4 linked regions of the Lepisosteus oculatus genome follow. The protein of the gene in region 2 binds, or shares a complex with, the protein of the main gene of each other region. Links are inferred from orthologs where the notes say so. Each region holds a gene or a part of one and is shown on either strand. Other genes may lie near its edges. The genes, in order: gpkow, sf3b2, sf3a2 and plrg1.

What was found.
Region 1: sf3b2 (region 2) and gpkow share a complex: the UniProt entries of both Homo sapiens proteins name them as parts of the minor spliceosome. The link is inferred for Lepisosteus oculatus from reciprocal best matches to the Homo sapiens genes SF3B2 and GPKOW.
Region 3: sf3b2 (region 2) and sf3a2 share a complex: the UniProt entries of both Homo sapiens proteins name them as parts of the 17S U2 SnRNP complex. The link is inferred for Lepisosteus oculatus from reciprocal best matches to the Homo sapiens genes SF3B2 and SF3A2.
Region 4: sf3b2 (region 2) and plrg1 share a complex: the UniProt entries of both Homo sapiens proteins name them as parts of the minor spliceosome. The link is inferred for Lepisosteus oculatus from reciprocal best matches to the Homo sapiens genes SF3B2 and PLRG1.

Annotation. Positions count from the first base shown.
Region 1 is NC_090697.1:75,065,430-75,072,860, reverse strand, and holds the start of gpkow (G-patch domain and KOW motifs-containing protein), read right to left. Parts: upstream 3,022-7,431; 5' UTR 2,231-3,021; coding exon 2,028-2,230; intron 1,778-2,027; coding exon 1,614-1,777; intron 274-1,613; coding exon 134-273; intron 1-133. UniProt on the Homo sapiens protein: RNA-binding protein involved in pre-mRNA splicing. As a component of the minor spliceosome, involved in the splicing of U12-type introns in pre-mRNAs.
Region 2 is NC_090713.1:22,562,863-22,569,766, forward strand, and holds the start of sf3b2 (splicing factor 3B subunit 2), read left to right. Parts: upstream 1-3,883; 5' UTR 3,884-4,054; coding exon 4,055-4,184; intron 4,185-5,063; coding exon 5,064-5,110; intron 5,111-6,624; coding exon 6,625-6,696; intron 6,697-6,789; coding exon 6,790-6,904. Other genes in the region: collagen alpha-1(I) chain-like, read left to right, coding at 1-210, 782-951, 1,800-2,043, 2,303-2,398, 3,161-3,198, 3,293-3,408. UniProt on the Homo sapiens protein: Component of the 17S U2 SnRNP complex of the spliceosome, a large ribonucleoprotein complex that removes introns from transcribed pre-mRNAs.
Region 3 is NC_090724.1:8,582,227-8,589,235, reverse strand, and holds the start of sf3a2 (splicing factor 3A subunit 2), read right to left. Parts: upstream 3,006-7,009; 5' UTR 2,916-3,005; intron 2,481-2,915; exon of another isoform or gene 2,403-2,480; intron 1,642-2,402; 5' UTR 1,498-1,641; intron 844-1,497; 5' UTR 779-843; coding exon 581-778; intron 496-580; coding exon 449-495; intron 1-448. Other genes in the region: plekhj1 (pleckstrin homology domain-containing family J member 1), read left to right, coding at 3,251-3,344, 4,671-4,738, 4,831-4,897, 5,339-5,429, 5,545-5,608, 5,871-5,954. UniProt on the Homo sapiens protein: Component of the 17S U2 SnRNP complex of the spliceosome, a large ribonucleoprotein complex that removes introns from transcribed pre-mRNAs.
Region 4 is NC_090696.1:24,676,258-24,683,792, reverse strand, and holds the start of plrg1 (pleiotropic regulator 1), read right to left. Parts: upstream 3,010-7,535; 5' UTR 2,894-3,009; coding exon 2,885-2,893; intron 1,437-2,884; coding exon 1,330-1,436; intron 348-1,329; coding exon 208-347; intron 28-207; coding exon 1-27. UniProt on the Homo sapiens protein: Involved in pre-mRNA splicing as component of the spliceosome. Component of the PRP19-CDC5L complex that forms an integral part of the spliceosome and is required for activating pre-mRNA splicing.

The sequences.
Region 1 (7,431 bases), on a different chromosome or scaffold from region 2:
CAGGAGAGGATAAATCAATTTGTGGGAAACTCAGAGAATGACAGTCCCCAGGAATGACAATATTTTTAATGGTTATCAAATGCTGAGTTAGTTGGTTCTGCTCTGTGAAGCAGGGGCTGGGGCGGCGACTCACAGACTCGGGCCGCAGGTCCACTTGGATCTTGTCTCCGTCCTCGTAGCCCTCGGGAGCCTTGTTCTGCATCAGCAGCGGGATGGACAGGTTCAGGTCAGCCGCTCCGCCATTTTTCCACAACTCCTGCTGCCGCTGGGACTCTGAGGAGAGAGAGAGACAATAAGACGGGGTGGAAATAAGACAATAAGACTCTCCCACTGGACAGGAGCCTCGTTCGTTTCAGGACCGGGGAGGTGCAGGCCAGGCTGGCTGGTGTTGGTTTACATAGCAGAGCCTGGAGCTCGTAAAACTCAGATTAGCAACTCAGACCAACGTCAGTGCAGTGGAAATCTTTCCATTCCTACACTAACTGCAAAATGGTGTAACTCTGGAGAGACCCAGGCAGCTACAGGATTAAAGTGCTTTTATAAATCACCATAAAAAAAAAACATTTTAGTAAAAGATTCCAATAACAGCCTGGATGCGTCATTTTATTTAAAGAAGAGCACATCCCTTCACAAACATGGTGTCCGTGAGACAGTGACACATAATGCTTTTCCATTCAACAGGAGTAATTAAAGAAACTAAAACAATGGTTGTAAGAAACCTCTTTGAATCTCTTCTAAACAGGTTTCTGTTAATGCTACCAGATGCACGCATTTATATATTAACAGACTATTAAAATTAGGCTGACAGTTTACCATGCATTTTAAGTTCCCAGCAATGCCCCTTGGAAAGAAAGCACTTTAATGATAACATCAAATGAGGAGTTCTAGCAGCGGTCAGGGAAGAAGAAGATCAGGGTGTAACAGGAGAACTGGGAGGAGAATAACCCGAAGAACAGCAGGGGACAGAAACAAGATTGGTGCTCAGCTGACGGAGCAACTTCAGTCTTCGAACAAGCAGTGGGTTCTTGTGCACTGGCTGGTTACTGGTGGAGTGAATTGTACCAACTTACTACACTGAGAGGTTAAAGGAAGTGCAGTTTTTCTTGTAGTCTTGAACAGAGACTACCAGGGGACCCTATTAAAGTATTCAAAATCTTCAAAGGCATTGACAGAGTCAACCCAGTGGACTTCAACAGGATGAACACCGAAACACAAACTAGAGCATTCACCCATCAATCCATTTTCCAACTGTTTCGTCCGATTCAAGTCCGGGGGAGGTGGGTATCATCCCAGGAAGCAACAGGCGCACGGTGGGTTACACCCTGGACGGCATGCCAGTCCATGGCAGGGCACAAAAACACTGCCGTACACACACACCCACACCAGGACCAATTTTCCCAGAAAACTGGACTCCAAAAACTGGAGCATCCAGAGGAAGCCCACATGAACGTGGAAGAACGTGCAAACTCCACACAGACAGCCTGCAGGAATTAACCCAGGACCCCGGAACTGCTACCGTGCCGCCCAGCTGTGTTTACGCGCGCAACAGCCTTGAAGCTGGTGAAACCCGAAACGGTCCAGTGGGCTACGCCGGGAGAGCCTGATGCACGTACCCTCAATCAGCTCCTTGACGGCCTGCGACTCCACAGCATCCTCCTCCCTGGGCGGCTGCGGACAGGTCTCGCTGGCCGTCCTGCTGGCCCCTTCGCCCTTGTACCACCGGTTCTTGTGGATCAGCGGGATGACCAGCTCCTTGGGCTTCTCCGCTGGTCTGGTGCTGGACGCAGAAGCGCAGACGACACGCCCGAACCCAAGCGCACCGAGATGCAGAGTCAAAAGCAGGCAGGAAAAGACACCAGAACACCCCGAATCAAGTCAACACAAGAGAGGCAAGACATACAACCAGAAAGAAACAAAAAGCGAAATTACTACACTTCAACACTACAATAAATTTTGCACCCCGAGGTTAAGTTTTGAAAGTCTTTGAGACCCCGGTACCCTATGTAGAGCGCTACTCTCGGCCATACCTCTTTAACTCCTTTCCTTCTACACCGGTCAGGTAGTCTTTCTCCTCCACTTTTTCGGCGGAGCTCTGAACTCTGAACTTGCTGACGGTTTTGCTGAAGCCAAAAGACACGGGGCCGGCGGCGGCCTCCCTTTTTTTGCTCCCATTTCCGACTTCCCCGTGTTTCTCGCCGGCATCACTTCGTAGTTTGTCGGGGTCCGCCATTTCTTCCTCCTCGGGTCCCGAGCCGCGACAAGCCGGCAGCCAGCTCGCGGGTGCCCCTGGCGAATGTAGTCCTTTTCATCCTGCTCAGGCGTGCACGGTAATGAACGTTATCGACACCAGGGACTACAACTCCTACAATGCAGCCTTAGTTTTTCGGGTCACGCAAGGTCACAGCAGACTATCACTATGGAGACTAACCAGGTTGTTGGATTTTTCTTAGCGCTGACTATTTCCAGTCTACTGGAAACAGAATCGTTTCAGTTTAAAACGATTACAGTTACAGTCATTATATATTTTTGTCATATATTGTATTTAGAAAATAAACGCACAGCTCCATAGTCATGTTGCCTTTTTGAAGCACAGTTTTTTTTTATCTGTCGCTTAACGCATCTGCTTATAGAATAACAAGCGAAATACCCGAAATAATTCAACTATGCCCACATTATTATATTTTGAAGGTTTGATTTAATGAATTAAAAGAGAAAACAGGCCCCAATTTGCCAGAGTACGAAAAAATATTCACTAAGGCATGCGGCGGAAATTAGTAGGTATACAAATGAGGATAATATTTTTATTATCGCTTTATGTAGGTCAGGTCAAGAACACGTACTGGCGTCGTTTGTCTTGAATGTATGAATTTATTCTTCGTTACAAGCGCGTTTGACCTTCAGTTCCCCCCCTCGCATTCATTGTGTCGGTTTTATCGCTGTTCTGTACTGTAAAAAATAAAAGTTTTGGGTTTTTTTTGTGTGTGTGTGTTCATTTAAAAGCCGAGCTCCTTGGTTCCCTCTCCCGCTGCCCACCGTTATCACTGGACGGGGATTAATTGGACGTGTTTGGAGGCAAGAGATTTTAAAGCGAAGCGGTGCGGTTGTAGATCTGTACACACACACACAGAGCCAGCACACATACAGTACACCAGCCTCGTCCAATCCCTTGCCCGTACAGGCGGGTCTCCGTTTTTTCCTCTTCTTCTGTTTCTCTCATTATCGCCGCCGCTGTTTATTGTAGACTGTAATGAAATGTAATGCAATTTCTGACCTGTGTCCTATCGCCCGTCTCAGGCATGGCGACCTGCCGCAGGAGCAGGAGAGTGAACACCTTTCTCTCAAAACAGTAGCACCGCCGCCCGTGTCTAATCCGAGCATGATCATTATGATACAAAAACGGCGCTAAGGAGCATCACAGCCGCATGTGAATGTGAATATTTAAGTAATATCTGGAGAAGTACGGAACCGAGACGAGGGAATAGGTTGTGAAGGCGCAGGAACGATGAAGGTAAGGTTTTTTTTTTTGTTAAAGATATTTTTTGATTTCTTCTTACCGACATTATTTGTTGTCATTTTCTCATAGCGGGGTGACGATAAAGATGTTTTGTTTTTGTTTTTTATACGGGGACGGGGACCGATTTGTTAAACGAATTATGTCAAACGGACGCGTTTGTTTCGACCGCCCCCCCCCCCCAAATTCAGTCACGCGTCTCGCGCTCCGCCGTTGGGAAAAGAGCGGGTCGTCGGCTGTCCGCGACTTCCAAGTGTGAAATTAATATTATATAGTAATAATCCACTGTTATATACACGGCCTGTGTTTTTTTTTAAATAAATCAACACACACAAACAGAGGGAGAGAGGGACGGGGGGTTAAAAATAATCCATTTAGTCTCATCCCCGATAGGGACCCGCTGCGTTACTGATCGGGGTCAACCGCTCGGGTCAGGTCGATGTACAGTAGAATATTAATATATGGACGTGTTATTTATTTATTTGGATAAACTGCCTTTCGTTTGGGCGCCCAAACCGCTTATACAAGCCTGTCCGACGTGTGAGACGGGCCAGGACAGTTGCCGAGGCGGAGTGGGTTTTTTTAACGCAAGTGTTTGATTTTGTCGGCTTGCCGTATACAACATACACGATGTGGTCGTGCATTTCACACGCCTGTGTCGTAAGGATGAGTAAATTTCCTACACGGATCTGTCATGTATACGTCTACGAGGATGTCTTGCTAATAACGTAATGCGGTGTGTCCGCTGGAGTGTGTGAAATAGTCAGTTTGGAAGAATAATACCGTGTTCAGTTTCATTTTTTTTTTTCACGAACGCAGCGATTATGTTTTTTTTTCGCAATCTGGTGTGTGTGGCGTCTGATCTGTGTGAGGTTGTGAGGAGATTCGTCGTATCTCAAATTCTCTGATAAAAAATAAAAACATCCCAAGTCATTAGCATTCGGCGTTTTTTTTTCTACCCTCTACTGTCAAGACGATTGGTGTATTTCTGTGTGTCAAATCTCACTGCTTCCCTTAACTGAGGACCCGGGCTCGTTACCAATGCCGCGTTGAAAAAAAACAACAACAACACAATTTAGCCGTAATAAACCGTGGAAAAGGACGGGGTAGCTACACTGTAATTAACTCCGCAGATTTCCCGGCTCATTTACTAGTAAGGAGACAGACCAGCACTAGGGTTTGTCACATTAACGAAAAGGGGAGTGTAGCTCTGTACACATCTGTCAGTAAAACGGTATTTATCGGGGTACACCAAGGTGTGGTACCTCCTATACTGCGATATGTTTTTAATTTACCGTCCGTGGTGACCGGATAATGCTTTTGTTTCCGCCGGGCCACCCTGAAAGCTATTTAAACGAGCCACAGCTGAGCCCGTTTGCCTGACAGTACAGGGAGACAGTGTTGCATCTGCGATTACCGATTACCCAGAGCCATACCGTGTTTTATGAGGTGGTTTTACAACACGGTGGATGTTGAATCATTAACTGCCACGGACAGAAACCTGCGTAAATGAAGAGCGATCCTCTAGTCTGAAAAACTGAAAGTGACGTTTATTAAGCATTGAAAATGATCTTTTTCGAGGTGCTCATGGGGTAGGCTCAGCGTGTTTCTAGCTCAGTGGGTTGCCTAGTAGGATTTCCAAGAGAAAGCAGGTCGTTCTTCCAGACAAGTGATGGGTCGATCAGAGGTGTTCCCGGTGTTTTCCTGACAGGGATCTAAACTTATGTGGAGATTGGAACCCATGTGTCCCCCTTTATACAGGTTGACTCATGACCGCCCGACATGGTGGTGTTCTTCCTGATGGGGAAAAAAAAAAACTGGACTGGCTGCTAGCCTTTCTTTTTGACTGTCCCCAGCTCAGCCCCGCTGCCTCCCACAGATCCCTAATGAGGCTGTGTGTGATGAGGACAGACAGCGGTCGCCTGATCCCAGACCCATGGCCTGCTCGCTGTGCCCATTGGGTAGCGTCTCCTGGACGTGTGTGTGGTGCAGTGCACCCACATTGGTTTGACTCGGATCTCTGGGGGACTCTGCTATTGCTGGTTTAAGGGGGGCAGGCGCTTGACGTTTGTCTTTTTTGAGCTCTTGTCACTTCCATCAGGATCATCGGAGACCGCCCAGAGTCCTCCCCTTCATTAAACACGCTGCCCTGATACCGAGACAGTACCACTGATACACAGCACCAGCCTCAACGAGGAGCTGACACAGACACAGGGCTGCCTGGGGCACCTTGGGCTTGTGCAGGTTTGGCAGGATCTCGTGCAGATGTCTGATGCTGTATTTGTACCACTGAGGTGCGGAAGTGATTTATGAAAAGCTGGTTAAATTGTCCTGTTTTGGGGGACTCTGCAGTGTTCTTATTGGTTCTGCACTGGCAGTAGCACTAGAAACAGTACTAGAGTATTTCATTGTATTTCTTTAAAATAATTTTAATTCGGTGGCGCAGGGGTCAGCTTTGCTGCATTGTAGCACTCGGGCCCTGAGTCCAATTTCAGACCTGGGGTGCTGTCTGTGTGGAGTCTGCATGTTCTCCCCGTGTTTGTGTGGGTTTCCTCCCACAGTCCAAACACATGCTGGTTGGCTGATGGGTGCTGGTAAGAGTGCGTGTGTGTCTATGTCTGTCTGCCCTGTGATGGACTGGCGTCCCGTCCAGGGTGTACCCTGCCTTGTGCCCCAGCTCCCCTGCGACCCTGAATTAATAGACGTGGTCAGAAAATAGACGGATCTGATTTTAATTCAGCCGGGCCTCATTGCATTAGCCAGACCGGACCGGAAATCAAAACCAATTCATTTATTTTTTAATTTCATACATATACTTGTGTAAAATCATCATCATCATCAGAGGAACTTTTTTTTCCCCTCTGTGTTTATATGTGTCTGTTTTTATTTTTATATACAGTATATACTGTATATTTTTCAAAAAAAGGTTTTTGTTGAGCGCGAGATTCGCCTCTTCGGGCTGGTCAGCTCTCAGAGCTCGTGGCAGACCCGTGTTGTCAGGGGTGCTGCTGGAGACAAGACTCTGAGAAAGTTTTTATCCTCCAGATGGCTTCACAGCGATCCGATTGTCTCAGCGGGATGTCACACTGGTGCCACTCGCTGTGCCTTTCACACCAAAGAGGACACTGGCTCGAAACATTGGCTGTGCTGCTTTAAAACTCCGTTAAGAAGATAGTCGCTTCTGTGTCCAGGCTTGTACAGTGTTGCACTATAATAATAATAATAATAATAATAATAATAATAATAAGACGAAGAAGAAGAAGAAGAAGAAGAAAAAGCGTGGATCTGGAAGGTGGGCAGTGTTTGACACAGAATCAACCTGAAGGTGGGGATGGGATCGGGGGATATCGAGTGTAGACCGGGACTCTGCACTGTTCGGGTCACCTTGCTGTCCCGTCCTGTCTGTGTCAGCACAGCCCCGGATACGGCACGCTCAGATTACAGCCTGGCTCCACTGAGTCTCTCCTGCGAAGTGGGAAGAGGGGGCCCTGCCTGACTCCTCATCATCCATTACAGGACTGGTTTCCAGTCCAGTCCAGGACGATCCCCTGCAGACTGGAGATCACAGGGGGTACCAGTCCAGGATGAGCCCCTGCAGACTGGAGGTCACAGGGGGTACCAGTCCAGGATGAGCCCCTGCAGACTGGAGGTCACAGGGGGTACAAGTCCAGGATGATCCCCTGCAGACTGGAGGTCACAGGGGGTACCAGTCCAGAATGAGCTCCTGCAGACTGGAGGTCACAGGGGGTACCAGTCCAGGATGAATCCCTGCAGTCCAGAGGTTACAGACTGAACCCCGAATCTTGAATGAGCCTTAGCCGTTTGCAAAGTGACCAGCCTACTTGAACCTGGAAAGATCTGGCCATCAAACATTGAATTTGAACCACCAGTGATGATGGAGTGATTGGATGGTCGTACCG
Region 2 (6,904 bases):
AGAGGGGGCGTCCGCAGAGGAGGGGTCCAACGGCAGCCCGAGTGAAGCAGAGACCCCGGACCGCCAGGAGGGGGGCCGCACGGACACAGGGGCGCCAGACGAGCAGGAAGATCCGGAGAGCGACGGAGAGGAAGAGGAGGAGGAAGAGGAGCGAGACAGCGAGGGGACAGACTCCGAAGACGGAATCGTCAGCTCCCCGCTGGGCGTCAGGTGCGAGCTCGGCCCGGACCACCCCGGGTTGCCCATTTCCCACTTTCCTCCCTACTATCTGTCAGAGGCAGCTAGCGCCCCCATCTGGTTCAGCACCGCCAGTGGCCCAGTGCCTCCTCCGCTCCCAGTCCACTCCGTGCCAGGTTTTCCCAGGAGTCGGCTCCCTGGTGTTGTTGGTGAATTGATTAATCCAACCATCCGTTTACCAATCGCTTTCCACACACGCACACACACCCACCAGGGCCAGTCCATCACAGGGCACGCACACACACACACACAAAAGGGCCAGTTTCCCAAAAGAAGCCAATTCACCTCCCAGCATGTCTGTAGACTGTGGCAGGAAACTGGAGCACCTGGAGGAAACCCACTGAAGCCCAGAGAGAACATGCAAGCTCAACACAGCTCCAGAATCGAACCCAGGGCCGCCCTCATTCATAAATCAATTACACAATTAAGACCCTGAGCCACGGCCCCTGTACTGTGGGGCATCCGGGTTTCGCGATCCCCTGCCCGTGTCCAGCTGTTGACCTTTCGGTGGGTCGATGTTGTGTTTTTCCTGAGAGGCGTGCAGGTCAAGCAGCAGGGATATGACCTGGGAAGATCCTGCTGGGCCAGGGGCAGAGAGCTCCTGCCCCCGGCCGGATCCACAGCTCACCTGGGCTCTTCTCCACCACAGCAGGGCGGCGCCAGAGAGCAGCGAGGGCCGCCGGGAGACGGGCGCGGACGCCGGCGGCCTGACGGGTGGGTCCCTCACGGCCACGGATTGATGAGATTGATGCGATTGATGAGATTGATGACTTGATTGATTGATGACTGATGATTGATGATTGATGACCGAAGATTGATGATTGATGACATGATCTACCGATGCCGTCTGGAAGTGTGAGGGTGCAGGTGCACTGAAAATGTTAACAATCTAAAACAACCTTTAATGCCACCTGTTTTTAAAGATCGACCTCGCGGTGAACAATTAAACCCCTGATTGGTCAAATTAACCAATTTAGGGATTATTGAGGACTGAGGACCTACGTCCTCTTCAGTCCTCAAGGACTGCGGTTCTCTTAATGGAATAAACCACTGGCTTGGCCATCAGGAGCTGACAGGCGTGTCCAAACTCTAGAAACAGGGGGACCTGTAGGACACACTGGGCTGGGGCTCCCCAGGAACAGGGCTGGAGACCCCTGATTCAGGGGGACCTGTAGGACACACTGGGCTGGGGCTCCCCAGGAATAGGGCTGGAGACCCCTGATTCAGGGGGACCTGTAGGACACACTGGGCTGGGGCTCCCCAGGACCAGGGCTGGAGACCCCTGATTTAAAAAAAAACAAGAATATTCACCACCAATGAGAAACCCTTTGGATCTTGTCCAGCTGTTTCTTCGACGACATGGCTGGGTAGCACTGTGTGTAACGTAGTCACTCCTGTTGTGATCCCAGGATCTCTGCTTCCTGTAAGAAGCCCGGGCATCGTCTTCAACACAAGACACAGGAGGAGGGGGAGAGGGCGGGCTGGGCCGTCCTGCTAGGTCTCTCCTTAGCAAAATAGCGTCCTTGCACTGAGCTGGTTGCTCTGTTTGTCACCCGACCCAGGGTCTGTGGTCAACTCCGAGGGCATCGCGGGTCAGCAGGGGAGCTCCGAGGAGGAGGAGGAAGAGGAGGAGGAGGAGGAGGAGGTGGGTGGGGGCGCCTCCAACGACATCAAGAGCAAAGGGGACGACGACGACGACGACGACGACAATGATGATGATGATGATGATGATGATGAAGATGACAGCGATGAGATCGAAGCTCTCCTGGCTCCGCAGGAAGATCCCAAAACGTCTTCTGGTCAGACGTGAGTGTCCTTCCAGCGACAGTCCACCTCCACGTCCACCAGCCTCTCGCTTCCACTGGCACTGGTGTGTCAAGTGTGTGTTAAAAGCGATGTTAGAATGAGGATTTACGTGCAGAATTCAGTTCCAGAGATCCTTCTGTGTGGAGTCTGTATGCCCCCCCCCCTCCCTGATCGTTCCCGCCAGCGCCCGCCTCAGTATCCGGGCGAATGAGCTCATCGAGGCAGCTCAGAGTCACTGACAGGGGCTTTCTCCTGGCAGAGCCGAGGAAGAGGAGGAGAGCCGCTCCGGGAGGAAGGAGGGGTGCCCGCCGCCTGTCCCTGCCGCAGAGGAGCGCCCCGGGGGCACGCCGGACAGGTGCGCGTGCGCTGGGGCTGGGGGTCTGACCGCACAGGAACGCCCTCTCCCGATCGAATCCGTCTGAAAGGCCACGGGCCATTTCAAGAGGTGTCTGCAGTCTGGGGAGGGGGGCCCCGCCAGCCCTGGTTTTGGGGAGACAGGTGTCTTGTGTCTCTCTCACAGATGGGGGTGCTGTAGCTCACAGTAACGGGGAGCTGCCAGGTCCCACCAGCACCAGGGAATGAGAGGCAAGTGAACACCTGTTCACCACCATCCACATGTACCATGTTTTACCCTGATCTCACTGGGCTCTACTGCGCTGTACTGTGTTTTTACCCCTATCTCACCGGGCTCTACTGCGCTGTACTGCGTTTTTACCCTGATCTCACTGGGCTCCACTGCGCTGTACAGTGCTTTTACCCTGATCTCACTGGGCTCCACTGCGCTGTACTGTGCTTTTACCCTGATCTCACTGGGCTCTACTGCGCTGTACTGTGCTTTTACCCTGGTCTCACTGGGCTCTACTGCGCTGTACTGTGCTTTTACCCTGATCTCACTGGGCTCTACTGCGCTGTACTGTGCTTTTACCCTGGTCTCACTGGGCTCTACTGCGCTGTACTGTGCTTTTACCCTGATCTCACTGGGCTCTACTGCGCTGTACTGTGCTTTTACCCTGGTCTCACTGGGCTCTACTGCGCTGTACAGAGGACCACAGTGAAGTTCCTGAAGTCAGTCAGTAGAATGATCTCTAAGGGATGTTTCTTTCTCTTGCACTTTCAGGGTGAATCACAGCGGCACTCTCACTGCCCAGGGCAAAGGTCAGTTCTGCTCAGTGGTAGCTTGCTCTTCCCCCCGAATGAGCCCTAGCTGTCCGCCCTGGCTGGTCAGTGACCGTGTGTCCGTCTCCTGCAGCGCTCCGGAGGGGCTCCGCGGACAGCAGCGATCCGGGAACCGAGGCTCCCGGTACCCCGAAGCCCGGCTCCGCGCCCCCGGAAGTGCCCGACGAGTTTGACGATTTTTTCGACTGAGAGAGAGGTGGAGAACACTGCCGCAGCACCCCGAAACGGGTCGGTCCTGGTCCTGGGGAGGCCGCCAGGAGCAGATGGTCCAGGACAGGACCGGACCAGACAGACCCTGCGGGGGCTCTGGAATGAGGAAGGGTCAAGCTGTTCAGAATAAACATCTGTCCACAAAAACTGCTTCAGTCAGATCCTTCGTTAGTTAATCAGCAAGATGGATGTATAGAACTGCGGTTGGGTGTTTCTGTGCATTGATGCTGTGTGTCAGTGTGTGAGGCCGTGCTGTGTGCGCGTCAGCATGTCTATGTGTCAGTGTGCGTGTATGTGTGTCAGCGTGTGTGCGACAGCGTGTCGCCGGGTGTTAAAAGATGCTTGTGACAGTCCCATTCTTCATCAGTGTGTCCGTGTGCTAAAAGATTATAACATATTTATCAGTATTACAAATCTCTAGGTTTTTTTGGGGGGTCGCTTTCATGTAGGTAGAAGAACTGCATTTGATCTGTTCGGAAAGTGACTCGGTTTTGTGGCCGCCTGCTAGAACTACAAATCCCACAAAGCCGCAGGACCGCCGTTTCCGGTCGCAGTTCCCATGATCCTCTGAGAGCGCTCGTTTGGTTTCCGTTCCTGCCTCGCTTGTTGTTTCTGTGATCCAGCCATGGCGACTGATGTACCGCCCGGCACCGAGCAAGCTCCGCCGGACCTCGGCAGCTCCGTTGCTGCCCTGAACACATGGAGCGTCCAGGAGCTTCAAGCCAAGCTAGCTGAGATTGGCGCCCCCACAATGGGTAAGTGTAAAGCGCGGGCTCCGTGGAGGGAGGGAAAAGGCCGAGGCCTTGCGCCGAAGCCTCGGGCTCGAGTGGTCAGTCCACCCGAGCAGGCCGGCCCCAGTGGCGGTGGGCGGGCGTCTGGGGAACCCGGCGTTCAGGTTGCTCGGTTCATTTCTGTGGCGTACCCTGTATCTTGTACAGAACCGCCAGAAACACCTCATTTCATTCAGGTTTGGCGCCGCGGAGTCTCCCGGTGAGCCTTTAGTTCATGAAAGGGGGCTGTGATATAAGATTGCTTTTAAAGAAATTGCTTTCGTTAGTTGCTTTAAACACCGGAGGCTTAACAGACCATCCGTTGATCATCTCTGTAGCTATTTATATATATTTTACGAGTCCTGCAGTTTCCCAGCTCAGCTGCAGAGCCAAGTGAACCCCAGACCTCGGCCCTGCAGTTTCCCAGCTCAGGTGAACCCCAGACCTCAGCCCTGCAGTTTCCCAGCTCAGGTGAACCCCAGACCTCAGCCCTGCAGTTTCCCAGCTCAGGTGAACCCCAGACCTCAGTCCTGCAGTTTCCCAGCTCAGGTGAACCCCAGACCTCAGTCCTGCAGTTTCCCGGCTCAGGTGAACCCCAGACCTCAGTCCTGCAGTTTCCCGGCTCAGGTGAACCCCAGACCTCAGCCCTGCAGTTACCCGGCTCAGCCCCAGAGCCAGTAGAAACCCAGGTCTCAGTGCATTACATACTCTATCAGAATTTAGGATTTGTTACTTAGACAGAACCAGTACACTCTCTCAGTCAGCCTGGCGGAATTGGGGGTACTTGTGGTTATCTTGTGCTGTGGCTGGGTCTTTGCTCAGTGACAGTTCTGAAGTCTGGACTGATGTTGTCTCTGTCCTCAGGCCCCAGAGAGGAGATGATTGACAGACTGAAGGCCTATGCGATGCAGGTGAGTATGTTCTGTCAGAAGTGATTGATACAGTGACCTGTCTCTCTCTCTCAGTTCAATTCAAGATGCTTTGTTGGCATGACCAATGAATACATCCGTGCTGCCAAAGCAAATACAATTAACATAAAATCTATGGATGTTTTCAGGAATTTCACAATACAGACCCATCTAAATAGTTACATGCAAACATCTGGAGCATTACTGGAAGACAGGCTAACTGTTCCTCAGGCTGGGACAGGAGGTCACACACTGTATTATTATTGAGAGACAGGCTCACTGTCTGTTCCTCGGGCTGGGACAGGAGATCACACACTGTATTATTATTATTATTGAGAGACAGGCTCACTGTCTGTTCCTCAGGCTGGGACAGATCACACACTGTATTATTATTATTATTGAGAGACAGGCTCACTGTCTGTTCCTCAGGCTGGGACAGGAGATCACACACTGTAGTATTATTATTATTATTATTATTATTATTATTATTATTATTGAGAGACAGGCTCACTGTTCCTCAGGCTGGGACAGGAGATCACATACTGGGCTACCAGTTCAACTGAGTTCCCTCCTCCCTCTCCCAGTAGGATTGGAAGCTATTGTGATTCTGGTAGGTGTAGGAACTCTGGGATTAGATTTGTAAATTTCTGGAAGAATGTTTCTCTAATCCCGGAGTATCTGTCACAGTGCAGTAGGAAGTGCACCTCTGTCGGTGTGGCTTGGGTCAGGGAGCCTCAGGACCAGCTGGCTCAGGGGGCTCTGTTTTGGGCTCAGCTCTTGGCTCAGCCGGGGTTTGTGGTGGTAGGAGTTTTGATTGGTGTTTTTTAGGTGTAGTCAATACTTTAATACTCTTTACTGTATGTTTATCAATAGTGGGTACTGTCTTAATTCGGCCCTGCACCCGTTGTTAGGTTTCTACAGATCTCCATGTGCAGAGTTTTTGTGGGGTGTTTGTCCCATTGAGTGTACTCCTGGTCTGTGAGGGGACCCCACACTTCACTGCTGTATAGGGCAGTGGGTTGGATTACACTTTGAAATATTTGGAGCCAGATTCTTGTTGGTGGGTTGGTGTTGAAGAGCCTCCTTCTTATTGCGTAGAAAGCCCTGAGTGCCTTCTCCCTCAGTGCCTTCACTGCCAGGTCAAAACTCCCGGAAGAGCTGATAGTCAGACCGAGGTGTGTGTAGCTGGATGTGTGCTTCAGTGTGTTGTTGTTGAGTGAGAAGTGGTTCTTGTTTCCCTGAGGCCTGGCTTTCTTGTGAAAAACCATGACTCTGGTCTTGTCCAGATTGACTGTTAGTGCCCAGGTCTGACAGTCCTGCTCCAGCAGTGCCAGGCTCTGCTGTTCTGGGTCTAGATGGGCTGGCAGTGCCCAGGTCTGACAGTCCTGCTCCAGCAGTGCCAGGCTCTGCTGTTCTGGGTCCAGATGGGCTGGCAGTGCCCAGGTCTGACAGTCCTGCTCCAGCAGCGCCAGGCTCTGCTGCAGCCCCTCCCCCTGACGTTGTGTCTGCCGTTCCAGACGGGGATGATGCTGACCAAGCCCACGCTGCAGGCCGGTGACGGAGATGTGGTGGCCCCCCTGCCGGCCCAGGTGAGTGTGCCCAGGGTGCGGGAGGGACCCAAGCAGGGAATTTTTAAGCGACTCCCCGATAATAATGTTGCCCTTTCTGCCCCCCCCCCACAGATGCCCGGCCTGCCCATGCCCCCCATGCCTCTCCCCCTGCCCCCTCCCCCTCCCCCGGGGATGTTCCCGGCCCTGGGGATGATGGGGGTGCCCCCGCCCCCTGGCCTGCGCATGC
Region 3 (7,009 bases), on a different chromosome or scaffold from region 2:
GTCACCCACAAGTAGATACAGGCAGGGCCAGAGAGACAGGGTCACCCACAGGCAGGGCCAGAGAGACAGGGTCACCCACAGGCAGGGCCAGAGAGACAGGGTCACCCACAGGCAGAGAGACAGGGTCACCCACAGGCAGGGCCAGAGAGACAGGGTGACCCACAGCAGATACAGGCAGGGCCAGAGAGACATGATCACTCAGACAAAAAGGCAGAGACAGAGAGACGCACAGGCAAGTAAACAGACAGTGAGCCAAGCCGACACTCACACTAACACAGGTCAGAGAGACAGACAGGTCAGAGCAGGGTCTGCAGGACACAGGCACGCAGACGTACAGACGCAGGCAGACAGCAGCCGAGACGGGTCAGAGTGAAAGAGACGGGCTGAAGGAGACGGACGCTTTGACAGCTCCACACACACACAACCAAAGAACATGAGCTCCACTCACAGGTTGGTCTGATGCTTCTTCCCTTGCGTGTGCGCCAGGTAGCTACCCTGAAAAACAAAGCACAGCGAGGCAGCGGCGTTAACCCCAGGCCGGGACAGCGGGGGGCGCTGTGCTCGCAGGTCGCCCGCTCACCTCGTTGTTGTGCAGCGTCAGGCACAGTTTGCACTCGTAGGAGCCCAGGTGGTTCTTCATGAAGTAGGGGTCCTTGTTGATGTCGATGGTCTCCAGGGCCAGCTGCCGCAGGCGCTCGCGCCGGTCCCGGTTGCTCTCCGACGCCGAGGCGACCCCCCCGCTCCCCGTCTTCCCCCCCGGCCGGTGCTGGAAATCCATCCTGGCGGGCGCGCGGGCTCAGGGACACGCTCTCTCTCGCTCGGCCGCGGGTAAAACACCGGGCCCTGGGGGGGTGGGGTGGGGGGAGACACTGGTCAGACTCTCACTGCTCCACCAGTCCAGCACCACCAACAACAACAACAACAACAACAACCCACCACACAGATGGGACCCCGCGGCGCCCCACTCAGGAAAAATAATAATCACTCATTGCACTTCTATAGCGCTTTTCTGGACACTCCACTCAAAGCGCTTTACAGGTCATGGGGATCCCCTCCACCACCACCAGTGTGTACCCCCACCTGGGTGATGCGCCAGTCCGCTCCCCACACACCAGCTCTCAGTGGGGAGGAGAGCAGAGTGATGAAGCCAGTTCAGAGAGGGGGATTATCAGGAGGCCATGATGGGTAAAGGCCAGGGGGGAATTTAGCCGGGACACTGGGGTAACATTTTTCTTTTTGAAAAATGTGATGGGATTTTTAATGACCACAGTCGGAACCTCGGTTTTACTTCTCATCTGAGGGATGCATTAGGGCCTACTTGTCCCACTAACACCTCTTCCAGCAGCAGCCTCAGCTTTCCCAGGAGTCTCCCCTCCAGGTACTGGCCAGGCTCACACCTGCTGGGCTCCAGTGGGGCTGCCAGCTGGGAGCCGCAGGGTGATATGGCTGCTGAAAAAAAAAAAGACACCTCCTGAAAAACGGACAAGGTGAACTCACAATAAACACGGCTGTGGGAAAACTTTCCCCACAACAGGGACCTCCGGCAGAGCTGGGGGCAGTTCCTCTGCTCGCTTTCCACAGCTCTCCACTGGCCACTGGCGCAGGACTGGAGGACGACAGACGATGACTTGACGATCGGGCCTATAAATACATTGAATTAAAGTTTAATCCACATTTACAGCAGCGTTTTAATCCGCGGTTAACGTTCAGGGCTCTGAACTTCAAAACAGAGGATCGTTGGAACCAGAGAACCAGCAGATGCTTATCTTATCACTAAGAAACTTCATAAGCTTCAGAAACCCGCGATTTAATGGTGAACTATCGGGGGTTTGAGAAGGAGCTGCACAGCCCCGCCAGAACACCAACAAGTAGTGATTAACGAGTAATTAATGGATAACGCAACTTAATACATCTGTAACGTACCGTAATTAATTAAAAACCGTGGACAAACAGTTTAAAGTCGATGCCTTTCTCACACTTAATCTAAAACATTACACGCAGACGTTTCGGTCACTGAATAATTTTTAAACCGGAAAGGTCACAAATAGTTACGTGAAGATCGAAGGGCGCTAATATTGATTACAGAGAGGATTTGTTAATATCTTATTTGTTAAAATGAAGTAATTTTATAATTCCTAAAACAAAGGTTACATTGTAAGAACACTCCCTTATTAGATAATTACAAATCTCACAGTGAAATGTTATTTTTAAAAAGTAACAACGAGGTGTCCCGAATCTAGAAACAAATTTATCTTAAAAGCTACCAAACTTAGCAAACCTTAAATAGCATGTACAAGCACCCAAACTATTCACATACATTTACAGTTGTAAAAATGTATTAATTTCATTTTTAAAACAAGTATTGTAGACATTATAAGTAACATTTCGAACGACTACCTTACCAACAACACACGCTTGTAACTTCCGGTCAAACAGTACATGCGCAGGGAAACCAAACTTTATTAACAATCTCTTCGCTGTGACATGACCAGTAATTCAAAATAACTCTTCATTTAATTTTGTTAATGCGGCATATTCGGACAATTTTTCAAATACAAAACCTGTCATTTCAGAAACTGTCCAGTTGTGTATGTTTTAAAAATAATTGCACCAAAAACGTGTTCAAGATCACATTTGTCACATGACATTTAAAATTGACTACATGTCCCAGAAATCCTGCCACGCAAACACGACCGTAGAAAGCGTTTGGCAATCTGGGATTTGTAGTTTTTTCTTAATGCGAATTAAGGACGGAGTGAATACAATAGCAATTGGTTTACACATTTATTAAGAATAAAAAAAGAGAAAAATAAGACTACGGCAGCCACTACGAAAAATTAGCCACGAGTGGACGAGACTATTAAGACGTAGTCTGTATTTTACTATGGCTGGTATTTAACGCGGAAAACCCTCACCGCTGACCACCGTTTCCGGGTGCGGAGCGCAGCTGTGTCGCAGGGGAGGGTCCGGTCCGGCGGTGGAAAACCGTGACCCCGGGGTCTGTCTGCCTGTGAGGCCGCTAGACTCGCAGGGCGGAGCGGTGGGCAGGTGTGAGAAGCTGCGGAGAGAAACGCGCAAGACCCCGTCGCCTGGTAACGCGAGTCCGGCTGTCCCGAGTGGGACAGGGATCGCCGAGATCCGGGTGGGTGTGTGCGTGCGTGTGGCAGCCGGAGCGGACGGCGGTCGCCGGTTTCCCGGGGCGATGCCAGGCCGGCGGTAGCGGCGCGGCGGCGGAGGAGGAGGAGGAGGAATGCGGTTTAACGAGAGGGAGCTGGTGTCGCTCAGCCGCCAGCCCTCCGAGAGGGCGGCCCAGCTGGGCATGCGAGGACCCAAGAGAGGCGACGGTACGGACGGGCACACGGGGCTCTCCCTCCCCTCCCTTCTCCCTGCCGCTCCACGCGTGTCTTTTCCGTGTCCACTTCCCTGTCTGTCTTCGTCTCCCTGCCCTGCTGTCGCCTGTCCTTATCCGTTAGGTCGCAGCTGTACTCATGAAACGGTGTTTGCTTATAACTGGGACTCGGCGCTCTGTCTCTTTCTGTCCTCTAACTGGACCGGTTTCACCTAACCGGACATGAGGCTCATTTCTACTAACCGGTGTGCTTCTTGTCTTCGCATTTGTTTTCCCAGCTAGACTGTTTAGTCTCTTTGTTTTATCTTACAAAAAAAAAAATCCAGGCTAAAACCGTAACCTTGCCGAGGGAAGGGTATGAAGATGGAAGGAATTACGATGTGTAAAATGTTTCCAGGAGGTCTGCAGCTCGGAGATGCTTTCTCAGAGTCTGCGGCCCCCCGAGATACACACCATTGTTTTCTCTTTCTGGCACAGAAAGGGAGCTATTTTTTAAGGAAGCGCCCGTCTGCTGTCTTATCGCAGTTATTTATAGCCGCTGCCCCCCCGTCTGGCCCTGTGGGAGAGGAACAGAAAAAGTGAGGGAGAAGAACAGAGACGGAGACGTGCTTTCTGCTGCCCTGATCAGACAGACAAACATCCTTCCCCACAGTGACTAATCTCAGCCCAGCATTCCCACACCTACCAGACCCAGAACAGCTCCCGATCCTGCTGGGGAGCCAATGCAATCGAGCTGCAGCCTGGTGTGTGTGTGTGTGACACACAGCGAGCCTGTGTCATATGTGAAATGGCCAAGCTGTTGTGTTAATTGTCATGTTTGGTGGCACTGTAACCCATCGGTTGTGCTAGTGAAGCTCGCTGGAATGGTGGACCAGCAGAAGGACAGGCCAGAGAGAGAGAGAAGGAGGAGGAGGAGGTCACAGTTGCCAGGGGAAACCGGTCTGGTCCAGTCCGCCTGGCTCCAGCCCGCGGGTCACATCTTGAGACATGGCCATGGACACCTAACTTGGCGATACTGGCGTTGGGCGACGCCCCTTGGTCACCTGTAAGAGCTAAGACCTTAGCCGGAGCCCAGCAAGCATCTTGCAGTAGAGGGACATTGCGCTGGTTCTGATCGGGATTCTCGGGTCCAGCCTGCTGGTTCTGGTTCTTGTTGCTCACGAGGTCGGGGCCCTGCTGGAGCCGGTCTCCTCCGATGAGCCGCGCGCTGTGGGGTCTGTGGGACGAGCTGTACCGTGCGAGTGCGGGGAGTGCTGCTCGGAGCAATGGCTGATCTCTCTCTCTCTCCCCCACCCCCCCCCCCCCCGTCTGTGTCCCACAGTCATGAAGAAGAGGCTGGTAAAGCTGGTGGTGAATTTCCTGTTCTACTTCCGCACAGATGAGGAAGAGGTAAGGGTGGGGGCGCAGGGGCGGGGGCACCCGGGGGAGACGGTGAGGGCTCGGTGTGACGGCTCTGTGTCCGACTGTCCATCTCTCTCCAGCCTCTGGGAGCCCTGCTGCTGGAACAGTGCCGGGTGGAGAGAGAAGACAGCCAGGCCTTCTCCATCAGTGAGTCTCGTGGGCGTTTGGGGCTCTGGGCCCGGATCCCATTCCAGTCCGGTCTGGTCCAATACACCCAGTTCATTCCAGTCTGGTCCAACACACACCAGTTTACTCTGGTCTTGTTCAATAGAACCCGGTCTATTCCAGTCTGCTCTGGTCCAGAACAACCCAGTCCATTCCAGTCTGGTCCAACACATTCCAGTCTGTTCTAGTCTGGCCCAATACCACCTAGTCTATTCCATTCCAGTCTGGTCCAGTACAACCCACTCCATTCCAGTCCAGGGCTCTGTGTACACTCTAGTGGAGTTGAGGGTTAAGTCCAGATCAAGACTGGTAAGACCTGTGCAGACCTGTAGTCCAGTCCAGTCCAGTCCAGTCCAGTCCAGTCCAGTCCAGTGCCTGGGCATTGTCTTCCTGATTGGGACCATTCCTCTCCGGTGTCCGCAGCCTTCCTGGACGAGTCGGAGCGGAAGTACCTGTTTGAGTGTGACTCTCAGGAGCAGTGCCAGGATTGGATGGACTCCATTATCCGAGCCAGGTCTGTCTGTCGATCCGTCCCGTTTGTCCCAGTGGGAGCTGTGGTGGGTTCTGAGAGTGTTCAGACTTCTTGGCGCATGTCTGTGTGATGTTTCCCTGTGTGGCGTCTCCCACAGCTATGAGTCCATGAGGAAGAGCCTGATCTTCTACCGCACCGAGATTCAGAGAATCACAGGGAAGGTGAGATACATCTGCTCAGTGCAGTGTTGATGTACTGGAGTGTCCAGTCAGTGTGTCTGTATTAACCCCTCTCTCTCAGTGCAGTGTTAATGTACTGGAGTGTCCAGTCAGTGTGTCTGTATTAACCCCTCTCTCTCAGTGCAGTGTTAATGTACTGGAGTGTCCAGTCAGTGTGTCTGTATTAGCCCCCCTCTCTCTCAGTGCAGTGTTAATGTACTCGAGTGTCCTGTCAGTCAGTCATTAAGCTCTATGTCTCTCCCAGGATCCCCTGGAGCAGTATGGGATATCGGATGAGGCTCGTTTCCAGGTTAACAGCTCCCTGAAAGCCAGCGACAAGGCGACCTAACAGCGGGGACACCACACCCCACCTCCCCTACAGCCACACGGGGCTGTTCTTCACACCTGCTACCCCACTGTAACCACACACCCGAGAGCACAGTTACCACGTCCACCCCACCGAGAGAGAACTGACCTTTCCAATCGTCTGCACTGTGAAGACCGCTTTCACAGGATCTTTCTGAGAGACCTGGGTCACGAAAGCAAAAATTGGATCAAATGTGCATGCTAAACATTTGTCTGAATTGAAGTTGAAGTTGGCAATTGGGTCTTGATCCTGAAAGCCTTGTTATATAATCTTCTAGTGCTTCTGCACTGGACTTGATGTATAAGATCACAACCTGTGTGCATGTTTTCTAAAATGTGATGCTCATTTCTGAGGTGTCTGGAATGAGGCTTCTGTACTCTGCCAGTGTTTTGTGGAGAGAGCAGTGGATTTCTAGGCTCTTACATGAGGCCTATGTCACTGTGATAGTTTGATATCTTTGCTTGAGGGGGGCCCTCTCTAAATAGTTTCAGTGTTTGGAGACAACCTGACGTTTTTAAGTCGGGTAACTACTTCCCTCTGAAAAAAAAACAAAACGCTTGTTTAAGTAGAGTTTGATTGCACCCAGATTTGCAGTTGTGTACATAAGTGCATACAAAGTCTATTTTTTTAAGCAAATTCTGTAGACATTTATTTTCTTTAGCATTTTCTTTCCAGGTACCTTTAAAATCTAAAAGGCTGTATTGATAAAGTGTCAGTATTTCTGTGCACATGTAACTCCTCTGGATGCAGCTGTTAATGTGTGTGGGTTTAGCGTGTTAGTTTTGTGTGAACTACGTTGTGTCCTGTTTCTAGAAAGGAGGAGGGAACTCCTTGGTTCTGAAATTCTGTTGTCATGCAAGATTTAGTTTTTAAATTGCCAATTTCTGGATGCAGCCATTCTTAACTGCTGTTTTGTTTAGTTTTTTGACCACTTATAAAAATAATTTAAGAACTCGGAGTGAAACCATGAAGGTTCTGGTTACAGTCTTTTAGGACCAGAGCTGGTTACACCTGCGTGACTTAAAGAAAATTAACTT
Region 4 (7,535 bases), on a different chromosome or scaffold from region 2:
CAGTAATAAGATACTCTGGATCATGCCCTGAAAAAAGTCAAATGAAAAGGTGCTCAGATTCTTTTTTTCTTATTATTTATATCCGGTCATTGTTCTCTCAATGTTTCTGCAATATAACTGGCTTAACTCAACAAAACAAGAACAACAAGACAACACAAAAACAAAATAAAAACCTTTGAAGAAATGCCTGTAACCTGAGACACTTACCAGGGTTTGCAGAGAAGTTCTGTTGGCCATAGGGGTCAGAGATCTGGAGGGAGCCCTTGTCTTTGCCCTCTTTGAAAACTGGCATGTGCAGCACAGCACTGTACTCCGTACGCAACTTGACGGCCATCTTGACCTTGTGGCTGACATAAGATAGCATTAGGTGAAATGTGAGCAACTCAGTACAAAGCTTTATAACAAAATGAATTAGATGGGCTTGAAAACACCATTAAAAAGTTGCACTCAGTTGCGGACTCAAGTAAAAAAAAAACAGCTGTCCCCAATCTTGTTCACAAGTTTTTCGTTTTAACCTTTAACATATCATTTGTGACTTATCTGGACATGTTAACAGATGTTCCCAGCTTTTATTCAGGTGCTGGAGCATTAAAGAGACATGGAAACCCTGCAAGCACACCAGCCCTACATGAAATGGACTGGAGATCCATTTTATGGATGAGACCATTTTATGTATCAAGTTACATGCTTAGTATTCTTGTATATTTTTCTAAGCATAATGTATAATAATTCTTATTCCTTACTTAAAGATCTTCAAACAAGGACAACTTCAAAATTCCAGATATGAAAACAGCTATACCAGTACCTAAAGCATAATTATTTTCTGCTCCCAGTTTCTGATTTTACTTTACTACTAAAAATTTAAGAGAGCACAGCACACAAGTAATACAATCTTATTTTTAAACACACCTCATGTAAGATATGAGATACCTACAATCTTGAGCAGGGCTACACAACCTATAGGCTCTACATTCCACTCCAATACCAAACTGTGCTACCACCAGATCATTACTTCATCGCTAAATTATTAGTATTATGATTAATAAAGCAATTCCAAGAGCTGGTTAAATCAAACTAGTGTAGTGGAGTCCCTGGTGTGGTCCTGATGTAGAGGGTCACACGCTTTGAAGGATTTACTGTAGTTTTTCTTCACATTACAATGCTGACAAAGCTCAACAAGTCTTAGGATATCAGCCACCACAAACAACAAGAATACCACTGAAATCCACTGGAAAGTGAAAACTGTAAAGTTGGATTTGACAGATCTTATAAGTTTTCAAGATGTAGCAATACTACAAATAGTATCTATTAATACATTTAAAACCTCACCTTTCTTCATCCATATCAATGGGCTTCGCATGATCAGCCACGAACATATCATGAGTGCGCTTGAGAGATCTGAACACCAGTGTGTGCACAGAGTGCTTCTGTACCTCCTAGAAGATATTATAGGGCAGGCATGATTGTAAAACATTTCTGGAATAACAGCTACAATTCAGTATATTAATAAACACCACAGCCTGAATATAGGTTCTTGAAAATCTATTGAATTGTTTTAACCACACTAACTAGTTAATAGCAAGAAACTATTTTATGTAGTGCCTTTAAATGCCTTTATTTTATAGTGACTTTGTGGCTTCACAAAGCACCTTACAGAAAAAATAAATAAAATGAGAGCATACAACAGATACTGTTGAATTCTGAACATATAATAATTTTTTCAATGTGGATTTAGACACTGGCGAGTAGGGCAAGACAGTAATCAATTTGGGTTAACCAACTTGAAAACGAAAGTGACGACCAGCTTGTCAGCAAGAGTTAGCAACACCATAGGACATAGTGTGGCAATATTTCTGAGGTGGAAGAATAATGTTTTTACAATGTGCTGCACATGTGGGTCAAAACGTCAAGCCTGGATCACATATCACCCCAATTGTCATCTAATTAATTTGATAAAATACTAGATGCAAGCATTCAAAATCCTCTTCCGAAAACGTCACTGCTAAACCAACCCAGATTATTTCTTCAAAATTAATATTGAAACACCAGAGGACACGGGTGGAAACTCCGTGAAAGTGAGTGAAAAAAAAGTGGGGCACTTCTTTACAAAGAGGGTTGGGGGAGTATGGAACAATCATAATAAACTTTATTTTAGACAGTTTCTTTAAAAGGAACTTATCAAAGGGCTTTACCATAAGAGAAAAAATTAACAAGGAGAAGATGTAACAAAATTAGTACAATTAAAAACAAGCGTTTAAAATGCAGAAGAAGAGGCAAGGGGCACACAGAGCCAGCTACTCAACGCCGCTGCTGAAGCCGATACCCTTGGAGTCTTTCAAGAAACCGCGGGATGATATACGTGGATAAGTAAACGTCTAACTAGAAAATGTTGTAACCTTTTATGTTCTTAAGAGTCTTCTCTCTACCCAAGTAGACTGACATACTGATTTATATTTACAAATAAGTACATCAATGAAAACTGACTGAAAATCTTAAATAAACGTATCGCTATTCAGACGCATACATCCATACTAAGACCCGTTTTACGACCTTCAGATTCCGCTTCAGCCAATTATTTCGTATTTATCGAGCAATCACACACAACTAAAACACCATAGTAAGACACCAGAGGGGGGAAAACATAACCATAATCAAATCTTAACTACTACAGAAGATGTTAATTACTTAAGATTCTACAACAAAACAACTGATCTATAGTCTCTAATTTATATAACCTTTAATTCGTACCTTTTAAAACAAAAGAAAGAAGCGTATGCATTATACTGGCCTATACAATACATTTCATTTCAAAGTTCAAACATATTTTCCTTTTGAAAAATCAAAACATAGAACAAAACGAGAAAGAATATAAACAATTAATTACCTCCACCATAGCTGAAGACAAATCCTTTTCACTCGATTACTTTTTTAAATATATTTTTTTTAACTATTCGAAAACGTACCACCAACAAATAACAGCGCGCACACAATATGAATACAGGAGGAAGGAAAGTCTGCGTTCATTTCCGCTTCCGGGGATAATCAAATCTCGACTGTTAGGAGATCGACACACTCCTACTGAGTGGTACTATAGCGACTTCTACTGTAGCGGAGGCCAAAAATATATTCGTTAAGAGTGTTACAGTACATACATACAGTAAATGTTGCCATTAATTGAATATTAATATGTATTCTACATTTGATTTTGTGGTGCAATTTTCATTGTTACAATAACGTATATACCGATGTTATACAGTAGTTTTTAAGAGCAAAAAATGTCCACAGAACTTCTAAAAATATACCAAATATATAGTTATAATTAAAATAATTAAAAAATTATCCATCATTATAAACATGGGCAATAAATGCTATAAAATACAAGAAATTACGATTGCTTACAATTACACTGAACCACCAAACGCTCTAGCAGAAGCATCTTAGACCCTGGTCCAGTCCCCTAAATTCTGTAGATCACTGTAAGTCACACTTTTCTGAGGCTTGTGAACAGATTGGTCAATCAAGAAAGTAATTTATTCAATAAAAGTAACCCTGGTCCTAGCTGAGGTCTAGAATGTACAGTACTTAGAATTTTGTTTCATGTGGACTCTACAATACAGAATTTAACGAGTCACCTGAATAATTATTCACAGATGTTTTCCAAGCCTTTGGAAAATACCTTATAGGTACTGAAATGTTTTCAATTGGGGCTCTCCGGGACAGTATTGGAGACCAAGGTTTTGGACAATGGAGAATTAAAACTATTTACTAAAAATAAACCAACTGAAGTAAACATACAAATATGTTTCTACTGTTTTTTTTTTAACAACGCATAATAGTAACGATTTGAGAATTGATAAAACATTGTGTAGGGATTTCACATTTATCATACATTTCATAGCTCACATATTAATAAATACATGCATTTACAGTAAGTATGAAAAAAGGCTGTGGAGCTTTTAGATGTGGCAAGTAGAGTATAAAAAATTATCAACATCCAAAATGTGTTTATTCTTTATGTTTAGTTTTCACTATGGAAATAGACTTTGCTTGTTCCTTTGCAGCTTTCACACTGACACAACTCACCCTCTAATCTCTTCATTTTATGTGTTGACCATTATACAGTAGCTGATAAATTTGTGCCTATATTGCTACTGCAAAGTCTCTAGCATGCAATAATAACAGTGAATTTTTCCTTTAGCCAATGGATTATATTGTTTTTACTATAGTATTACAATGTTTAAGAGTACACTCTAATATAATGATAACATTTATGACTGTATAGAGAATATTGTGGTAGAGATAACAAGACAGTTGATGGAAACAACTGTCTAGACATACAGTATGAAGGAAGTGAAACTCAGCTCTCTGATCCCCAATGCAACACAGGTTTTGCAGGCAATAGTTGAAGTGTCCTACAGGGAGATTGTGTGCATGCCATGAGTAGGCAGGCTTGAAACATAAAAAAGGGAGATAACTGGGTGATGAGAGGCAGCAGTCAGAGGAAACGACAGACACACCCCATAGGGGTGGCATCCTCAGAGCTTTTGGAGTTCAGCCATTTCAAGGCCTTATTGGAGACAGACCGCAGGAAAACAAAGGACACATAGGAAAATGTTATGCCCCTGGACATCCAGGAGCCCATTCCTTCAGTAAAGGCAGGTACTGATAGTGGCTGACTCTATATGTGAGGTATTACATATAGAGTCTCATCCGTCTCATCCGTCCTTCGGATGAGACGTAAAACCAAGGTCCTGACTCTCTGTGGTCATTAAAAATCCCAGGGCGTTTCTCGAAAACAGTAGGGGTGTAACCCCGGCATTCCTGGCCAAATTTCCCATTGGCCTTTACCAATCATGGCCTCCTTATAATCCCCTTCGATGAATTGGCTTCATTACTCTGCTCTCCTCCCCACTGATAGCTGATGTGTGGTGAGCGTTCTGGCGCACTATGGCTGCCGTCGCATCATCCAGGTGAATGCTGCACATTGGTAGTGGTGGAGGGGAGTCCATGCTGCCATATAAGATGCCTCTACTCAGCATCAGAAGCATTTGAACAAATACAGCATCAAATGTAGCCATTGCCATAGGCTTTTCTATAATTGTACTAGAAGGGCCTTTCTGTTTTGTGCTACTATGTGAAGATTCTATTGAATACACTGAAAGGTTGTGAGAGATGGCTTTGTAAGAAAGCCATCATCTTGGATGAAAGACCACTGGGAGGTGGTAGTAGACTTGAGATGAGCTAGGAGGGTGCTGTTGTAGGCAAGAAGAAGGGGACAAAACTGCAGAAGAATGCATTCAGTGATGCAAAGCAAAATGACTGAAATAGCTACACTGTATGTGTTGTTTTAAAACCATTTCCATAAAGGATGAATAGTTTGTAAAGTGAACGGCTACCTACACTTAAGATAGCAGAAGGTTTGAAAGAATATAACACAAAACAAGTCATGAGGGACGATATAAATCGTCACTTTAAACAAAAAAGGTCTGTTTTTACTTATGCCTGTCAGGGAAGAAGTTTCAGTAAAGATGTTTGTTTCTTGACTCACCTTTCATGTACAGGAGTCCAGTGTCTACCCAAGACTACATGTAATTTCAAAACTCTCCCCTTTTCATGATAAAATTGATGCCTGACCTCTCTTTGTTGAAATCTGCATTGGGAAAAACCTGTTGTTTTTGCTTTCCCTTGAAGAAAAGGCTCCAGTAATCCAAGCCAAGATGACCTTTGTTCTCTAGACTGCCTTCCACTTATAATTGTCCCTTCTTTTTTTAATGCCATTCTCAGTTCTTAAATTTAATGTTGTTTAAATCTGTCACCTCTTTTTGTCCTAGAAACATTTGGCTGAAGTTGGAATACATTAGCTTGTTCATTTAGCTGATTAACTTTAATAAAAATTGTATTTTATCCTTGTATTTTAAGCATACAATGAGTCACATTGTAATGTAACTTTTTAAAAGGCTCTCATATACTGTAGTGCTTAATATGAAATGGCACTATAGAAATAGTAAAATAACAGTAAGATAATTGATTGCTGAAATTTTAAAAAATTCAACTTGCAATGTCCTAAATGTAATGCTGAGATAATCTGGAATGAGAAGTGTTATAAAAATGCAAGTCATTTTTTATGATTAGAAAAAAGATCCATACTGTACATGCAGTCACTTTGGTGTGTGGTAGCTATGAGATATCATTTTGTTATTATTTTGTTGTTTAGAGTCTGGGTTTTATATATAAAAAATAAATAGACTGAAAGCTCTCCTGTGTAGGATCTGAACAGGATCAAATAACTTGACAATCATGGTATCAATGCACCTATTTGCTTTTCTGTTAATGCGATAATTAAGCCTATAGTAGGTGGACAAATATTTCTCAATTACCGTTGTTTTTCATTTTCATTTAGTTTCATTTAGTTAATTTCACTATCTAACTAAATTCCTATGATACTGAGTACTAAAAGCCATGTGCTCATTACATTTTTATTTCAAAATAGTAATCATAAAAACAGCATGATTTAAATGTTTAGATTCTGTGTGGGAGTTTGGCAGACAAATAAGTCCACTGTGATTAACCGACTGGATGTATGCTTGCACAATATTTCTGAAATATTAAGTAAACAAAATGAAAGAATTGAACATCAAGTACCTACGTAGCTGTCATAGAAGGCCCATGTTTTCCTGCTGATATGACGTGAAGAAAAACAGTATAAAAATATTATATGTTTATTGTATATACTGCATAACAAAACAGGAAATGGTGCTGTCATTCCATCTAATGAGTAAAGCCACCAAAGGTTTAAAATGTACATTTTTTTTCAAGATACAATTAGCCTATATACATTATTCTTAAAAATGTTGAAGTACATATATATGAAAATGAAATTCAAGTGCAATTATATTAGAACTGGTAGATACATCAGATCTATGTTGATTCTTTTTGTGATGCACAGTGCCAACCTGTCATAAAATGCATTGTTTGTATTGAATATACTGTATGTAAAACTCTAACAATGAAGGAAGTATAGGCTGTCATTACTGTATTTACAGTAGGTACAGTAAATACTCTCCATCCCATCTGCATTGTTTGAAAGTCATTAGATAAGGCATCAAGTAATTATTGGCTTATAAGATAGTTGGCATACTACAAAAAGACTTTTACAGACACACAGATTTGGCATCATTATCCATTTGTTAAAGAAATAAATTACTGCTTTATTGTGTTAAAATGCTAAGTATCTTTTGATAAAGGCAAAAAGCTAACTGTTGCCAGAGAAGGTATTTCAGAATTATACCAAACTTAAACAAACAGAATGCAGTGTTGTTTAACTTTCATGTGTTCATCCTTGACATCAGGTTGTGATGTGCTTGCATACCTCAGGGCTGGTTGTTTTAGGCAATGTTTGGTCAAGCAAAGTACATTCTTTATCCTTTGTTGCTTCATGAAACCAACATTAACCATTTAAATCCTTTGCTGTACTTAAAAAAATGTTTGGGTACAATGTAATACTCAAATGTCTTACTTTCAACCTTTTCATTTAC